Linked DNA regions of Oryzias latipes. The protein of the gene in region 3 purifies or fractionates together with the protein of the main gene of each other region. This does not show direct contact. Links are inferred from orthologs where the notes say so. Each region holds a gene or a part of one and is shown on either strand. Other genes may lie near its edges.

Evidence for each region. Proteins that work in one complex are often made in the same cells at the same time.
Region 1: the proteins of sugt1 (region 3) and cep97 purify together in Homo sapiens (affinity purification with mass spectrometry; 3 studies listed by BioGRID and IntAct, with this or other methods). This does not show direct contact. The link is inferred for Oryzias latipes from reciprocal best matches to the Homo sapiens genes SUGT1 and CEP97.
Region 2: the proteins of sugt1 (region 3) and rnf41 purify together in Homo sapiens (affinity purification with mass spectrometry; 3 studies listed by BioGRID and IntAct, with this or other methods). This does not show direct contact. The link is inferred for Oryzias latipes from reciprocal best matches to the Homo sapiens genes SUGT1 and RNF41.

Annotation. Positions count from the first base shown.
Region 1 is NC_019879.2:10,883,299-10,888,142, reverse strand, and holds the start of cep97 (centrosomal protein of 97 kDa), read left to right. Parts: upstream 1-1,628; 5' UTR 1,629-1,722; coding exon 1,723-1,759; intron 1,760-3,577; coding exon 3,578-3,723; intron 3,724-3,820; coding exon 3,821-3,979; intron 3,980-4,844. UniProt on the Homo sapiens protein: Acts as a key negative regulator of ciliogenesis in collaboration with CCP110 by capping the mother centriole thereby preventing cilia formation. Required for recruitment of CCP110 to the centrosome.
Region 2 is NC_019865.2:22,245,103-22,250,068, forward strand, and holds the start of rnf41 (E3 ubiquitin-protein ligase NRDP1), read right to left. Parts: upstream 3,217-4,966; 5' UTR 2,942-3,216; intron 1,266-2,941; 5' UTR 1,246-1,265; coding exon 1,156-1,245; intron 268-1,155; coding exon 1-267. UniProt on the Homo sapiens protein: Acts as E3 ubiquitin-protein ligase and regulates the degradation of target proteins. Polyubiquitinates MYD88. Negatively regulates MYD88-dependent production of pro-inflammatory cytokines.
Region 3 is NC_019875.2:17,046,865-17,051,564, reverse strand, and holds the start of sugt1 (protein SGT1 homolog), read right to left. Parts: upstream 3,120-4,700; 5' UTR 3,002-3,119; coding exon 2,988-3,001; intron 2,898-2,987; coding exon 2,849-2,897; intron 2,339-2,848; coding exon 2,248-2,338; intron 151-2,247; coding exon 81-150; intron 1-80. UniProt on the Homo sapiens protein: May play a role in ubiquitination and subsequent proteasomal degradation of target proteins.

The DNA.
Region 1 (4,844 bases), on a different chromosome or scaffold from region 3:
AAATATTACCCATGAAAAGACAAAAATAGATATGTTTCAATTATATTAGCAGCCTAAACGAAATGGACTAACAGTCCATTTAGCAATAAGCTAAAACTGAACTGAACAGAAAAAAAAAACAGTGTAATGAAGGAGCCAACTTCCATACCAGTATCACCATCATTGATAAAACATCTTCACAGTTATCTTTTCAGTGTATATTTTTAAGTTTTAAGTGCAGAAAAAACCTATGTGTTGCATCTTTTTAAACTAAAGCTAATTTTAAAAAAGTATTAAGCATTGTCACTGAAACATTTTTTAACACTCACTAAATGTACAATGAAACTCTCTGGGGTTTTGTTAACAAGCTCACAGCACAGCCATGACAGTTGCAGATTATAGAGTGGTTTTTTTGTGTTCACCTGTAGCTGTAGGTCTTTCATCCAATGCCATTCATCCATCTTCTGAACCTGCTTAATACCTTTTGGAGTCACTGCGCTTCATTCAATGGTTAACTTCAAATTCAAAGTCCAAAGTCAGGTGCAGTCTTTTTCATTGTCTCTGGCTGGCTGTCAAATATCAGAGGGAACCAGAAAGGCAGCAAAATGAAGTTCTTGTGTTTCGTTCTCAGATGGCTCTGCTGAGTCTGCACGTGTCTGAGGTCATCTGCTCTGTTAGTTTTATGTTGATACAAACCACAGACATAACTTTAATTTATCTTTGCTTTTGAAAAATGAATGAAAAAAAAAAAATATTCTTTGACCATGTCATCTGGCCTTACATCTAAGTAAACAGAGTGAGGTTCCATTCTAATCTCACTTCAACGCAGGAATCCTTTTGGAAACATAAAAGACATAACATGAGAGAAGTTTAATGTTTCTATTTAAAAATGACAATGCAATGTAGATAAAAGACTAAACTAAAATGTCTGATAACTATCTGGAATGTTGTCAAGCTGTGGAACGATCATTTTAAAAAAACTATTTACTGTCAGTCAATGTTAGGTTTGGGTTGTGAAGAGCTGTAAGCTAGAAGGGGAGCATTTAAATCAAGAGTCTCCAACCTGAGGCTAAGGAGCCATGTGTGGCTCTTTGGTTTTAAAGAAAATGCTTGGACTTGAAAAAAAAATAGATTAACTAGTTGTTCGATGCAGTATGCATTTTATTTTGCTGTAGTTTATGGTAAAATTAATTCAAATTGGTATAGAAAGAAACATAGAACACGGTTATAATTTAATTATTGTATTAAAAGCAACACTTTATAAATAAAAGGTTTAATGACCACGGAAACCTTTTTAAATAAAAAAGACTATTTTCCCAAACGGTGAAGTTGGACTTTGCAGTTTTTTGGTCAGTAATGAGCTAGACTACATGGCTCTTTTAGCGTTAAAGGTGGCAGATGAGTCCCGCCAACAATTCAGAGGTGAATTTCTAATAAATTCCTGCTGCTCCGCAGTGTTCTAGAAAACAACAATGTTGAGGCTTTTTTGTGTGTTTGCTTGTTAATTTTGTTTATTTATTTATTTATTTGGGGGGGGGGGGGGTAATAACGGCATAATCATGATAAAAAGACCATTGGGAGCGCTTTATAGATCAAAAGATAATCGGGAGAGAGACTTGCAGGCCAGACAGGTAACTACATTTCCCAGAAAGCATTTCACCCTGTGACAGCCGACAGGCGCCTCTTGTGTGTCTGACAGTTAGAGTTAGCTAACGCTCGGTGAAAGCTAGCTAGCCCGGCAGGATGGGTGTATCAGATTTACACTTTGATACGAACGCTGGTGAGTTTCTTTATGGTTTTATAGCCAGGTGAACCCATTCAGTTTGTAATGTTTGTATCGTACGTGTGTTAAATCTAGTCGTTTAGCGCTCTTGACCGTTTTTAGCTCAGCAAACGTCCCGTGACTTTTCTTCATTGACTCTTTAAGTTGAAATATCTGGTGGTTGTTAGCTAGTTTGATCATCAAACTGGACATATTGGCAGACTTGTGTGGAACATCTGTACTGTAAACTAGTTTTCTTTTCAAACCTAACTCTAATTCTTTCCTCCTCACAATTGACTGTTATCTTAAAGATGTTGTGATGTCAGCAGCATCAGTTACAGTTGCAGTGGCTGAGTTGGCCAACGCAGGTTGTCAGTTAAAGCCTTGATCCATCATGAAGTGAACCTGGTGGCCATAGAATACATACACCCAACTTAAATGCACAAAAAAAACTATTAATTTAAAAAGTAGCTTTTAAAGATTTGCAATACAGTAATTGAATTTTACCAGTGTTCTGTTTTACTATTCATTCAATGTGAATTACTTTTACTTTTAACAGCAGCACTTAAATGTTCTTTTCAAAATAAAATACATACTGCGTCGAATAAGATTCTCCTGCTGCTTTAGGACATTCACTTTAATTAAAAATGTAAAAAAAAGGTCAAGTCAAACATGGGATTTTCTGACATCATGACTTTGATGCATAATCATCCTTTTACCGTCGAATATAAACATGACAACGTTGGTGTAGAATCCACTTTAAATTGCTATTATTTACATTAAAGTAGCTCTCCGATCATCTTTCGGTCACGTTTCAAAGCATTTCCAGTACTTTTAATTATGATTATGTCATTTTTAGGAAAAGTCAATAAACCTGTGTCATCTTCTAGGACATAGTTTCTGCAGAGCATCAGTAGATGTGGGCGGGACTGTTGGTGTGGAGTAAGCCCATTGCCACTTCCCATCACCCATCTGTTTACACCCTTTCCCGCTAGCTTACAGCCCCGCACAACCCCAACCCAAATTACTGGCGTAACAAAAATGGCAAGCAACATGGGAGCTATCCAGTCATATACTGTAGTTTTGATTCAAAGTCCAGCTCAGACGAGGAAAACAAAGACGTAGATGAATCTATTTGTCCACAAGTAGAGGTATCAGAATGGAGCGCAGCAGGAAGCCTGTAACTTGCCGTTGTAGGCTCCACGTCACAACACAAGTTTTTATAAAGAGCATTTATCATTTGCTCCTGATTCAAAATGATTTGAATGAAATATACTCAGAATTGCAATTTGAAGCTTAATTTCCTTCATAATTGTCCTGCCTCATCAGGAAAAAAAAACACCCAAAACACCATTTTTTCTTTGAAGTGGATCAACAAGGCTACAAATAGATCAGGTCAACACACAGGGAAACTCAGAGATTTCACATTCAGACAAGATTAAGAGAAGCTGTTTGGTGTCTTCATGTCCTTCAGGCTGGACCAATATAACAGTTCTGTCTGCTCTTTCAATAAAGACTATTAGAGATAGCATAGAGTCAGATCTGCTCAGGGCTCACAAACCCAACAAAGCTCTGGAACCAATCAGGTGGTAGGTAGACCTTTGAGTCAAAGGTGAAGCTACACACAGATTGAAGCAAGATGTCTGATGAACTTGAATGTTCTTCAACGATTTTTAGTTAAAGTGCTGCTTTCTTTCTGTTTCATTAATGGTACATTTGTGACATTTTTTTTTTTAATATAATGCCAACTCTTTGTTCTTTCTGTAAACCAGTGTGAAATGCTTTTATGTACGAAAAGAGAAATCCAAGTGTTTTGTCTTCTGACTCCTAAACCAGCAGGACCCGTGGTGGATCTGACAGGTCGGGGGGTGCAGAAGCTGGATCCCAGTTTCATCAGTTCTGACGACACTCACACTCTCATCTTGGACCGCAATAAAATCATGAAGCTGGATAATCTGGAACGAAGCCCCAGCCTTCAGCAGGTCACATTTTTGAGAGTGGTTCTAGTCTGATGACAGATGAACAAACACGTTCCCGCTCTGTGGTTTTGATGCAAACTCCTTGTTGTCACTAATTCAGCTATCCGTAGCAAACAACCGTCTGGTCAGAATGATGGGGGTGTCTCAGCTGATGCAGCTGAGGGTCCTCAATCTGCCCAACAACAGCATCGGCTACATTGAAGGACTGCGCGATCTGCCTCATCTGAAATGGCTAAACCTTTCCGGAAACAACATAAAGGTGAGGAGACGGGAGGGATTTCTACAAACCAGAAGAACCTCTCATCCAGAACAAAAATGGAAAAGAATTGAAGCATTCCTCAATTGGTTCAAATAAATCAGTGGTTTTCATTAAAACTTTTTAGTTGACTGCCACTCAAGGGGTCACAGTTTACGCAGACATTTTCAGTATTTATTGATGCTTACCAAAGTGTACAAGTGTACCAAAGTGCTTCATAATAAAAGAAACAGACAAAAAAAATGTTTAAAATCAGGCAAATCAAGGACAAATTTAAAAACAGCATAAACTTACAAAACGTTTTTAGCAATAAAATACATCAAAGATAAATAAGAATAAATAAAAGAAAAGAAAATGCCACCTGAGCATAAAAAAACATTCTAAAAAGGTAAGTTTTTAATTGACATTTGAAGCTATGGTCAGATAAAATACAGATTCAGCTACAACACGAGAGAAATCTCAATCTATTTAATAAACAAAGGACATTTTTTTCATTTTAGAGAATCATAGTAAATTTTTTGGGAAATAATTTCAAAGGCAAAGGTTTCTTTTATTTTGCTTCCTCCAGCCTTCATTACATCTGGGCTGGATTACTGGAATTCTCTTTATTTTGGAGTCAGCCAGTCGTCCGTCTCGCGTGTCCGGTACGCTGCTGCTCATGTTCTGGTTGGAGCCACATCCTAGCTACCTTTCACTGTCTGCCTGTGGTTTTAGAGCTCATTTAAGATTCTGTTTTGAAATCTTTAAATAATCGTACCTTCATACCTGTCTGAGCTTCTCCCTAAACCCCAGCTTGGTGTCAGGTCAGCCTCTCTTGGACGTGCTGAGGTCAGGAAGAAGCTCAGACTGGAACGAGCGTTTTCACTAT
Region 2 (4,966 bases), on a different chromosome or scaffold from region 3:
TCCTTCCTCACAGTTGACAGGCCTTTTGGGGTTGTGCTCACAGTCTTTGAGATGAGACTGTAGCTGGTCCAACCTCAGCGTAGCTGTGCAGCCATAACTGGCATTGTCGCAGTTGATCTGAAGTTTGGACAGCATGTTGCGCATGATCCGGGGCACAGGCCGGAGATGAGCTAGTGTCACCACTGTCCTGTCAACAGGACAGATCTGCTGCTGGGCAAACCACTGTGTTATACAGGCATTACAGAAGGCATGTTCACAGTGTGGAGCCTGAAATGAAGATACAGAACTCACTTAAAATGCTGTGATGCATTCATTCATGAAACCATTAATGTCTACAAATATAAATGAGAAAATACTGCTATACAGTAAACCCTTGTTTTTCGCGGGGGTTACGTTCCAAAAAGACCCCGTGATAGGCAAAATCCGTGAAGTAGAAACCTTTATTTTTTTTAAACTATTATTATACAATTAAATACTCTATTATACATTGAAAAGAAAGAACAAACCAATTTACAGGCTCAAGCATTTGTTTCACAAATAAAAGTACTTTAGAAACCTTTTTTTCAACAAATAACTCTGTACTGTACTGTCAAATAATAATTTTAATGAATGTGAACAGAAGGCTTCAAATCGCGGAGATTAGCCCCGCCCACCGCGACCCGAGTATTGGATTAAACGGGAGAAAATTTAAAATGATTATGAAAAAAATACAAAGTACAGTGGGACAAATAGTGACTCAGGTGTATTTCACTGCTCTTCAGACTGAGCCGCTGCATCCTGACTCAGCTCTGCAGTGTTTTCTTCTTTTGAAGCCCGCGGTGCAGCTGTGTTTGTTCGGGAGAAGAACATAGTGATAGGCAGTTGTTGTCGCTCTTTTTTCTGCTTTGCAAAAAGATCCTTATACACCGACTTGCCACCATCAAGAGAATTTGCACGTAGTAATGAAAATTTGGCAAGCTGATTTACGTACGTGCACATATTAAACTGCAACGTTATTGACGCACAGGTAGAGAAGAAGCGGAGTGACTTTTTAGCCAATCAGAATGCAGAACACAATGCACCATGCAAATCCGTGAAGTAGCGAAACCGTGAAAAGCAAACCGCGTTATAGCAAGGGATCACTGTATATCCAATTCCTTGTAAAAGTAAACTTGCCTGCACTGGTTCTTCCAACACTCCACTGCAAATAGGACAGAGGAGGTCTTCATCCACCTCACCCTGGAACCTCGTAACATCGTACCCCATGGTACACTACCCACAACCTCCTGAGCATCAACAACAGGTAGCACACAAACAAACAGTAAAATGTCAGTACTTCAAACGGTTGTGATGCACAAAGAAGGAAACAACACAATTGTATTAATACATGTCAATTAATACAATTTTACACTTTAAATTTCAGCATTTAAATGGGAATGATTAATTATATGTAATTTCAATGACTTTAGACTTTCAAATCATTTAGTAATATCTTCATTTACATAAAATAAGTGCTGAAATGGATGTATAAAAGTAGGGCATACTGAGATTTTACCCTTTACACAATTGTTTAAAAACATAAACAAATGGATTTATTTTGTACAACAAAAAAAACATCTACTTCATGTGACCGCATAAAACTGCTTTAGTCAAGGTCTCACAGGGATTTAACTAAGAACAAGAAGTCTGAAAACATCAGTCAGCAAGCTGAAGAAAATTACAACAGCAAGTAATTAAACTGTTTGAGCCCAAATCTGTGCAAAAATGTGTCCATCACCCTTGTTGAGGTTAGTCATCTGAGCTACTAAAATGAAAAGCACAACAGTTTCATGGGAAAAAAAATCTTCAACAAGAAGCTTTGTGGTTTTGGACTACTTAAAAAGCATTGTGTTCATATTTTTCCATGCCATTCATACAATAAAATTACCAAACTTGCAAAAAGGAGAAAAGGGTGAAAACATTATTTCTCTGCATGAGTTACTTTAGTTAAAAAAATGCTTAGTACCTCTTAAATATCTCTCTCTATATATATATCTATCTCTCTCTCTCTCTATATATATTTTTTTTTTAAAGAAAGTAAAACTATACCTATACCTATACAGCTATTTGCTCGTTAATGCTAAAATCTGGCAAATAAATAAATAAAGACCAATGTTAATCAAAAACTTGATGTAAAGTTGTTTGTTATTTGTTTAATTTAGCTTTTTGGGACAAAAAGCATTGAAATAAATTCCCATGTTTGCTGACATATTTAAATAGCTGTGATTTAAAAGAACCCCCAGAAAATCAACTCTTTCCCAGAATTACTGTGTCAAGAACAGATAATATAAGGGGTTTAAGAGCTTTATTTAACCATATATGAAAAGACAAACTATTCGAGACAAAAAAAAATAGCCTACGTGATAACAGTTCTGCTGATGCGCAGCATAAAAAAGCGGTGCCCTTGAGCCGAAGTTGTGTTATTTTTCAGCCGCATCTCATCGGCATCCACATTTATACTGGGTTAAAATCTGAGGATTGGATTTCAATATCTGAGTACTTTCCAAATAGGATACTGACACCAATTCGGTTCGAGTTAGATTCACCTGACAATTCGATTTTAGCATCATTAAACGATAGCTTTAGCAAAAGTTAGCGTACCGCTAAAGCTAGTGTTAGCTACGTGGAGCTCTTTTCCCTTTGACAGTTTACTAATATATAATGTTAAACTATTTTACACAAACACATAAAAGTAAATAACAAATTTAGTGTTTCTTCAGAAAGAAAAATTAACACATGTCACGGGTTATTAGGAACTGACTTATGTCAAATATAGGTATAGGGTTAGCATCTACCAAAACAGTGGTTTTCATGAATGTTAGCACTCAAGCTAACCCGACGGATCTCAGATAGCACAAATATTTATGAAAGCGACTTTAATAAAAAACACTATGAGAAAAATAAAATTCACTACTATACTTACTTAGGCATGAAGCAAAACAGGTCCTTGTCAGGTTTACAAATGTTTAAAAACGTTGTACCTTCGCTAGCAATGTGCTAGCCACGTCTTGCTACATCCTACACTTGAACGTTGGCAGGAAGAGGAGGACTCTACCACAGGTTCTGAAGGTCTATGTCATTCTGTTCTTCAAATCAAACAGTTGATAATATTCCAATGGGGTTTAATGATCACTTTTCCTTTAGCCTGTTATATATGTTATGAAAGATGTGTTCGAAATGAGATTGAAAAACGGAATAGATTTTTGCCGCTGTCCCCTATTCTTGTTTGTAAATTGGTCTATTCCATAGTCTTCGTGCTGTCGAGGACCGATTACGTTTTTTATGTGTTAATTTAACCTTTATTTAACCATATAGAGAAACAGTTATACTTTAAAATGACCACCCAGATGTATTTAGGCATGTTTTTAGAAAACCAGAAAGCGATTACATTCTAAGGATTTTGACACACAATAAAAACTTTTTTCCCAGGAAATATTTTAGTTTTTACAGTATATTATTTTTATTTTGTTTTGTGTAGTTTAATTTGATAGAAATAATTGAAGATATTTCTTTTTGTTTTTAAACTTTTTTCTATCTTGGAAATGTCAGTTACTGTACTTTCTTTGTTCATCTGCCTTTTTCATGAAGTAATGGAACATTTTCTGACATATTTTTTTTATCATGTTAATAACATTATGCCCTGCATACATAGTAAACTTTAACAAAACTTTTCATGATTCTTTACCCAAAGGAAACAGCAGAAAGGAACATGTGAGCCATTGTAAATACAGAGTGTGGGTTCCAGACCATGAACATTTTTCTAAATTCTGCTGCTGGTGATTTGAATGATTGAAATGTCAAAAGACAGAAAACAATTAATTTAATAAACAGGAACCTCAGTAGTCAGCTACAACAGCCTCAGTCGCCACCGGTCCCCAGTTTGGTTACACACTCCTGTGTAATGGCGTCCCATTTTTCATCCAGCGTTTGTTGCAAGTCCAACATTGTTGCTGCATTAGTCACTCCTGCATAAAAAAATAAAAATCACACCCAAAATTGTTCCCTAAATTTAACACTTTGATTGACTTGAAGGCAGAATTGTCAGCAAGGTATTCGACTCTTCCCACTTCCAAATTCAGAAAGTAACATCCATCTACAGTGAGCGGCGGTTTGGCCATCTTTACAGGTTAAATCCTGTGGAGAATTATCTCTGGTTGCAGAATCTCATATTTTTCTTAATTGTGATTAGCTGTTTGCCAAGACAACTGCTGGTCTTATTGCCCTGCAAACATCAACTGCAAATCTGTAAAAAAAAAAAAAAAAAAAAATAGTGCAAATGAGAAGAAAAGGTGTCCTTAGGCTGTCTTCTTGGGACATTGACTTTTTTAGCCCATCTCTGACATTTATTGTTATAAAGTAATAATCTTAGCCTTCAATTTGGAAATGGAAAAAGAAATTATCTTCAACAAATACTGGGATTTAGTTTTGTAAAACACCACTCTGTAGTTGCCCTATTCCATAGGCCAACCCAAAGTAGGTCAATCAGTTGTTAGCAGCAACTGGGAGTACCTACATCTCAGAACAAGAGTTAAAAAATAAAAAACACATTAAAGGCTGCTTGAAATTGTCATTTTTTTATGTATACATTGTATTATCTCACCATTTGTTCTAAGTGAAGTATGCAATACTAAATTTTTTTGTACATTTGAGGCATCTGCTATTCCATACCAGTAGATTTTTATGATGAAAAAAAAAATATTAAAAATAGCATTACATATTAAAAGTATGAGCAAATGCAGTGTGGCATCTGAAAACTTAAGTGATGCAGATATTAAAGGTTTTTGTTGCTTATTTTTAGTTACATATTAGTCTTTGGTGTGAAACAAAACGCATTCTTTGGGTTCTACGTTCATTTCTACAAAAATAACCAATGACTTTCACTTTTTAAAGCTTTGCTTATTATTTCATTGGAGTTATTAAAGTGCCTAAAAGAAAAAAAAGGACAGAA
Region 3 (4,700 bases):
CAAAGCAACAATAGATATTAGCATAATCTGTGCTTGAGTAAATATTTGGAAGAAAAAACAACAATAAAAAAATCACACACCCTGTTCGCATGAAGGCTAGTGGATGACTGGGCTTTAGCTGCTGGGCTTTCTTAGCATCCTCAACAGCACCTGTGGAGAAAAGCAGACGTATTGGGAAGACTTCACACTCATTCATCCTCATTACCAACTCATATTAACGGATGATTAATAACGAATAACTGTTTGGAGCTACTACTTTATCTGTCATAGGATACCCCAAAATCTTACATTGTCTAAACTTCCATCATTTTAGGTTTTACTTAAAGCTTTAGTGGTAACAGCTTTGTGGAATGAAGCAAAAATATCTGCTTTAACTTAAGGTTTCAAAAGAGTCAATGCAACCAAGCAGCCCAACTAACACTGACAAGATGCACCAAAGGAAAGCCAGTACTTTCTGTCGCAGCTTTCTTCCATTTCCCATGATTTCCTTCCATCCATCCACCTTCAGAACCTACTGAATCCTTTAGCTGTCACGGGGCTGCTGGAGCCTAACCCAGCAATTGTTGGGAGAAGGCGGGGTACACCCTGAACAGGTCGCCAGTCTGTTGCTGGGCCACACAATCACACACACACACTCACATGCACAACTAGAGACAATTTAGAATAATCAATGAACCTATGAAACATGTTCTTGGACTGTGGGAGGAAGCCAGAGCGCCCAGAGAAACCCCATGATTGTGCTTGCAGAACATCCAAATTCCCCACAGAAAGAACCCAGCAGGTTAGTGCTGTGAGGCCAGAGTGCTGACCACTAGGCCACCATGCAGGCCTCCCATGCTATCACATTTCTAATGATAATATAATCATTTTCAATTAAGCACAATTATAGACCCATAAACAGTAGCCAGGAAACTTCCAGCTAAAAACAACAACAAAACCTTTTTCCTACATCGAAACCCTAAATTCATGGAGAGTATAAGTTGAAGTATTCGCAGTTCTTGAATGAAATTTACAATTTAAACTTTATTCATTGACTGATCAACTTTGTGAAAACATTTGTGGTGCTGTTTGCAGCCAGGTGGGGCAAAATGTGATCTACTCAGCTGCTGTTCGATTGCAGAACAAAAAGTGAATAGAGGTCAAAATCAATGCCAAGAACAGTCAGAGAAGGAGGTCTTGTGGGCATCCACAGGGTCACTATGGGAAAAACCTTGGCAAAAACTGACTCCAGGGGGATCAGAGGAGGACATAGAGGGGCAGCATTGGAGAAAACAATGTAACAAACTAATAAATAAATAAATAAATAAATAAGGAAAGGCATTTATCTGGCAATAACGCTTTTTTGAACTCTAAAGTAGGGGAAATTTTGAATATTACAATCTTTCTTCTCTAATACGTCATACAAACAATAGCTTCATGAAGAACAAGTAACATCACTTTAAGCAGAATTATGCCCATATAGAAGGTCATGGTGTTTCATTTGTTCAACTGCACAATGTGAAAAGAAAAGCTTAAATTAAAGCAGTCTCATATTTTGGTCATAAACATGTTTGGAGATATTATTTTCCTTTTTGTCTGTCTGCTCCTCTCTTTAAGAGTCGCCTCTGTGAATCCTCTGCATCATTCTAATCCTCTTTGCTCACACCAACCACCCTATGTCCTCCTCCTTATTCTCCCTTGGGACTTCCTTCCAGGTATCTCCATTTTGGTAAAAGGATACTGAACAAGACCAAACCACCTCAGTCTGTTCCCCTGCATTCAACTTTTCAACATCTAACATGAGCCAATCCTCTGATGTATTCTCAAAATGCTCACAGTGATGACGGTAAAGCCGTTAAGATTCCACATTAAGGAGAGGAGCCTTCCTCTGCATTTTAACAAAGAAACAGAATTACATCAAAGATGGAAAAATGCATCTGGTGCCTGAAAGTGTGAATCATTACGAGTCAATAAGATTTACACAAAGATCCTGGTCCGAGGAAAATACATAAACACATTTGTTTTTATTGAAATATGGTTTTCCTTAATGAAAATTCCAAATGCCACAGCAGGCATGTTTGAATTCCCTGCAGCGAATAGAAATTTTTGTAGTTCAGTGATTGCTTTTCCCAAATTTGTCCTCATTAAAAGATCAACTACCCAGATTTTGATTCAACAGTGTGACTTCAGAATCATGGTACACATCAATTAGTTCCTTTGGCGACATTGGGGGTAAAAACTGGGAATATGATGTCAACTTTAACTTACAGCTGTAGTTCTTTAGAAGAATGTGGGCATAGGCCCGTTGACAGAACCACTCAGCGTTGTCAGACTCTCCCTGTAAGGCCTCATTCAGAGCCTGAAAGTAAAATATACATAAGAAAGTAAAGTCAATATACTTGATTTCTGCACGACGGAAACAAGTTGTTGAAGAAATAGCGTCGCTGCAAGTGTATATTATAAATTAACCAACATAACAGGTTAATTGATACACAGACAGTAACACAAAAAGAAGGGAAAAAAACAAGTTAATAACGTTACAAACTATTTTAACACATGAAAACGGTTTAATTATAACAAATAAAATATGTGATGGTTTTAAACAAGACCATAACATAGAAAAAAATATTCAATAAATGCGTCTTTTACACTTTCATTTTCAAAATAAGACTTATACAGTAACGTGGCTGAACTTGCTAGCTACATATCGTTAAACGTTGAGACGTAACGTCAGGAGTTACAAGCCCGACCCATCTCCACCAGTTCTGTTACGAATAAATCAAAAGTATGAAATGGTCTCTAATCTGATACACAAACACCCCAAAACACAGGCTACAGGTTACGTGTTGCTAGCAATGCTAACGTTTACCTCAAGGGCTTTGCGTGGATCTTCATCAATGAAGCTATCAGGGAAGCTGCTAAAGAAAGCCGACAGAGACCAAGCGTTAACAAGCTAAATAACACATAAAAAAGCAGATATACAATTGGATATACGGAGGAGGACTGACCGTTCAGCTGCCATGAATGCAGTAACCTGACGGGCTGTACGTTCAGAGTGGCAGGAAACTTCTAGACGTAGATGCTACTAGAAACGGAACCTTTGGTTTGTCAACATCCGGTGGCAGACTGGTGCTCCTCCCCCTTCAAAAAGGAGCACAATCAATGGTTCCTACTTAAAAATCCATTATCACCTGCTTATAAACATTCCCTTCTTTATTTAATTTTAAATGTTTGTGACCTCGTACAACAACTACTGAAAATTTATTAATGACTTTACTTTGATAATCAGCATGAAACACAATACTTTAGTTAGATAAGGCTTTATTTGATCTTTATTGAAGGACAAAATAGTAAATTAATAAATTAAGTCTGTTTTATTAAATAACAGTCTAATCAGTTAGTGAAGGAGGGTCTAAAGGCAGGGATGTCCAGTTTAGTTTAGTTAGTTCAATTTGGTATTTCACTATTGAATTCTATTCATGATCCTTTTGATTTTATGTTTTACTTTTTCAATTACTGATACGAAGCCCATCAAGACGACTGTTGTTGTTAAATTTGGGCTATACAAATAAAATTGAACTGAACTGAATATCTCATTCTGTGTTCTTGTGGGTTAAAATTGACCAATTTGATAAATTGCTACAGCAGTGACCCTTCCTCTCCTTACACACTATAATGAAAGAATATCATTACTCATATTAAAGTGTCAACATTTCTACAAATTCTTCAAGATAAAACAGCCACTCTCCTCACTAGAAGTTCAACAAATGGGAATGAAAAAAAAAGAAAGAGGAAAAACGTTTGACATAGAAATTTATTTTATATACCATTTCTGGACAGCCTGAACACAAACACACACAAAAGTAAAGCAAAAAGATCTCAAGCTCACAATCAAATATGAGCTTCTCAAAAACAGTAAAACAGCATCGAGAGACTTTAGATAGGTCAAAGGAAGGAGCATCTGAGATAAATGGCTTAATAATGTGAAGAAATTTGCATAGGGACTCCCAGCAGGCAAAAGGCACAATTATTGTATAAGCATGTCTTTACCAAGTTTGGCCAGACAACACCAGCCTGACATTCAAAGTGTTCTTTGTTTTGAGGATAAGTGAACTTTGCAGGCTGGTTTTGCAAAATAAGACACAAGTCAGGGAAAGAGTAAACACTTAGCCAAAAAGATTTTCTAATTAGAAACCAGAAATGTTACTCCCTGCAAAGAGGAAAAAGTCTGCAGCACCAAAAAAGTACTTAACCTGAGGAAGAAAGTGGCAGCAAAGAACAAGCACTTTCACAAATATACAGTATATGACATTTAACATGTATAGATATTGAGGATTTAGAGTTCCGCATATGATCTATATACGTGCAACAAAAAACATGTGCAATAAGGAAAGGCTATATATACCGGTATTTGGAATATGAAATAATCAGAGAAAACGTGGACAGAAGACCACTTGATGGTGATTGTCAACAACAAAAGGCAGATCCACTTAACATTCAACAACAGCAGTGCTCATTTACGTTTCTTGAAACAACAGTGATTCCCTTCTTTTCAAAACGTTCACATAATATAAAAAAATAAAATAAAATGGAATGTTTCCCTCAATAAATTCATGATTCACATGAATGAAGAAAGCAGGAGGCGAGACGGAAACTACAGGCACTTTAAGGCAAAATTCAAACAAAATTTTAGTGCAAAACCACTTTGAAGGCAAAGGAAT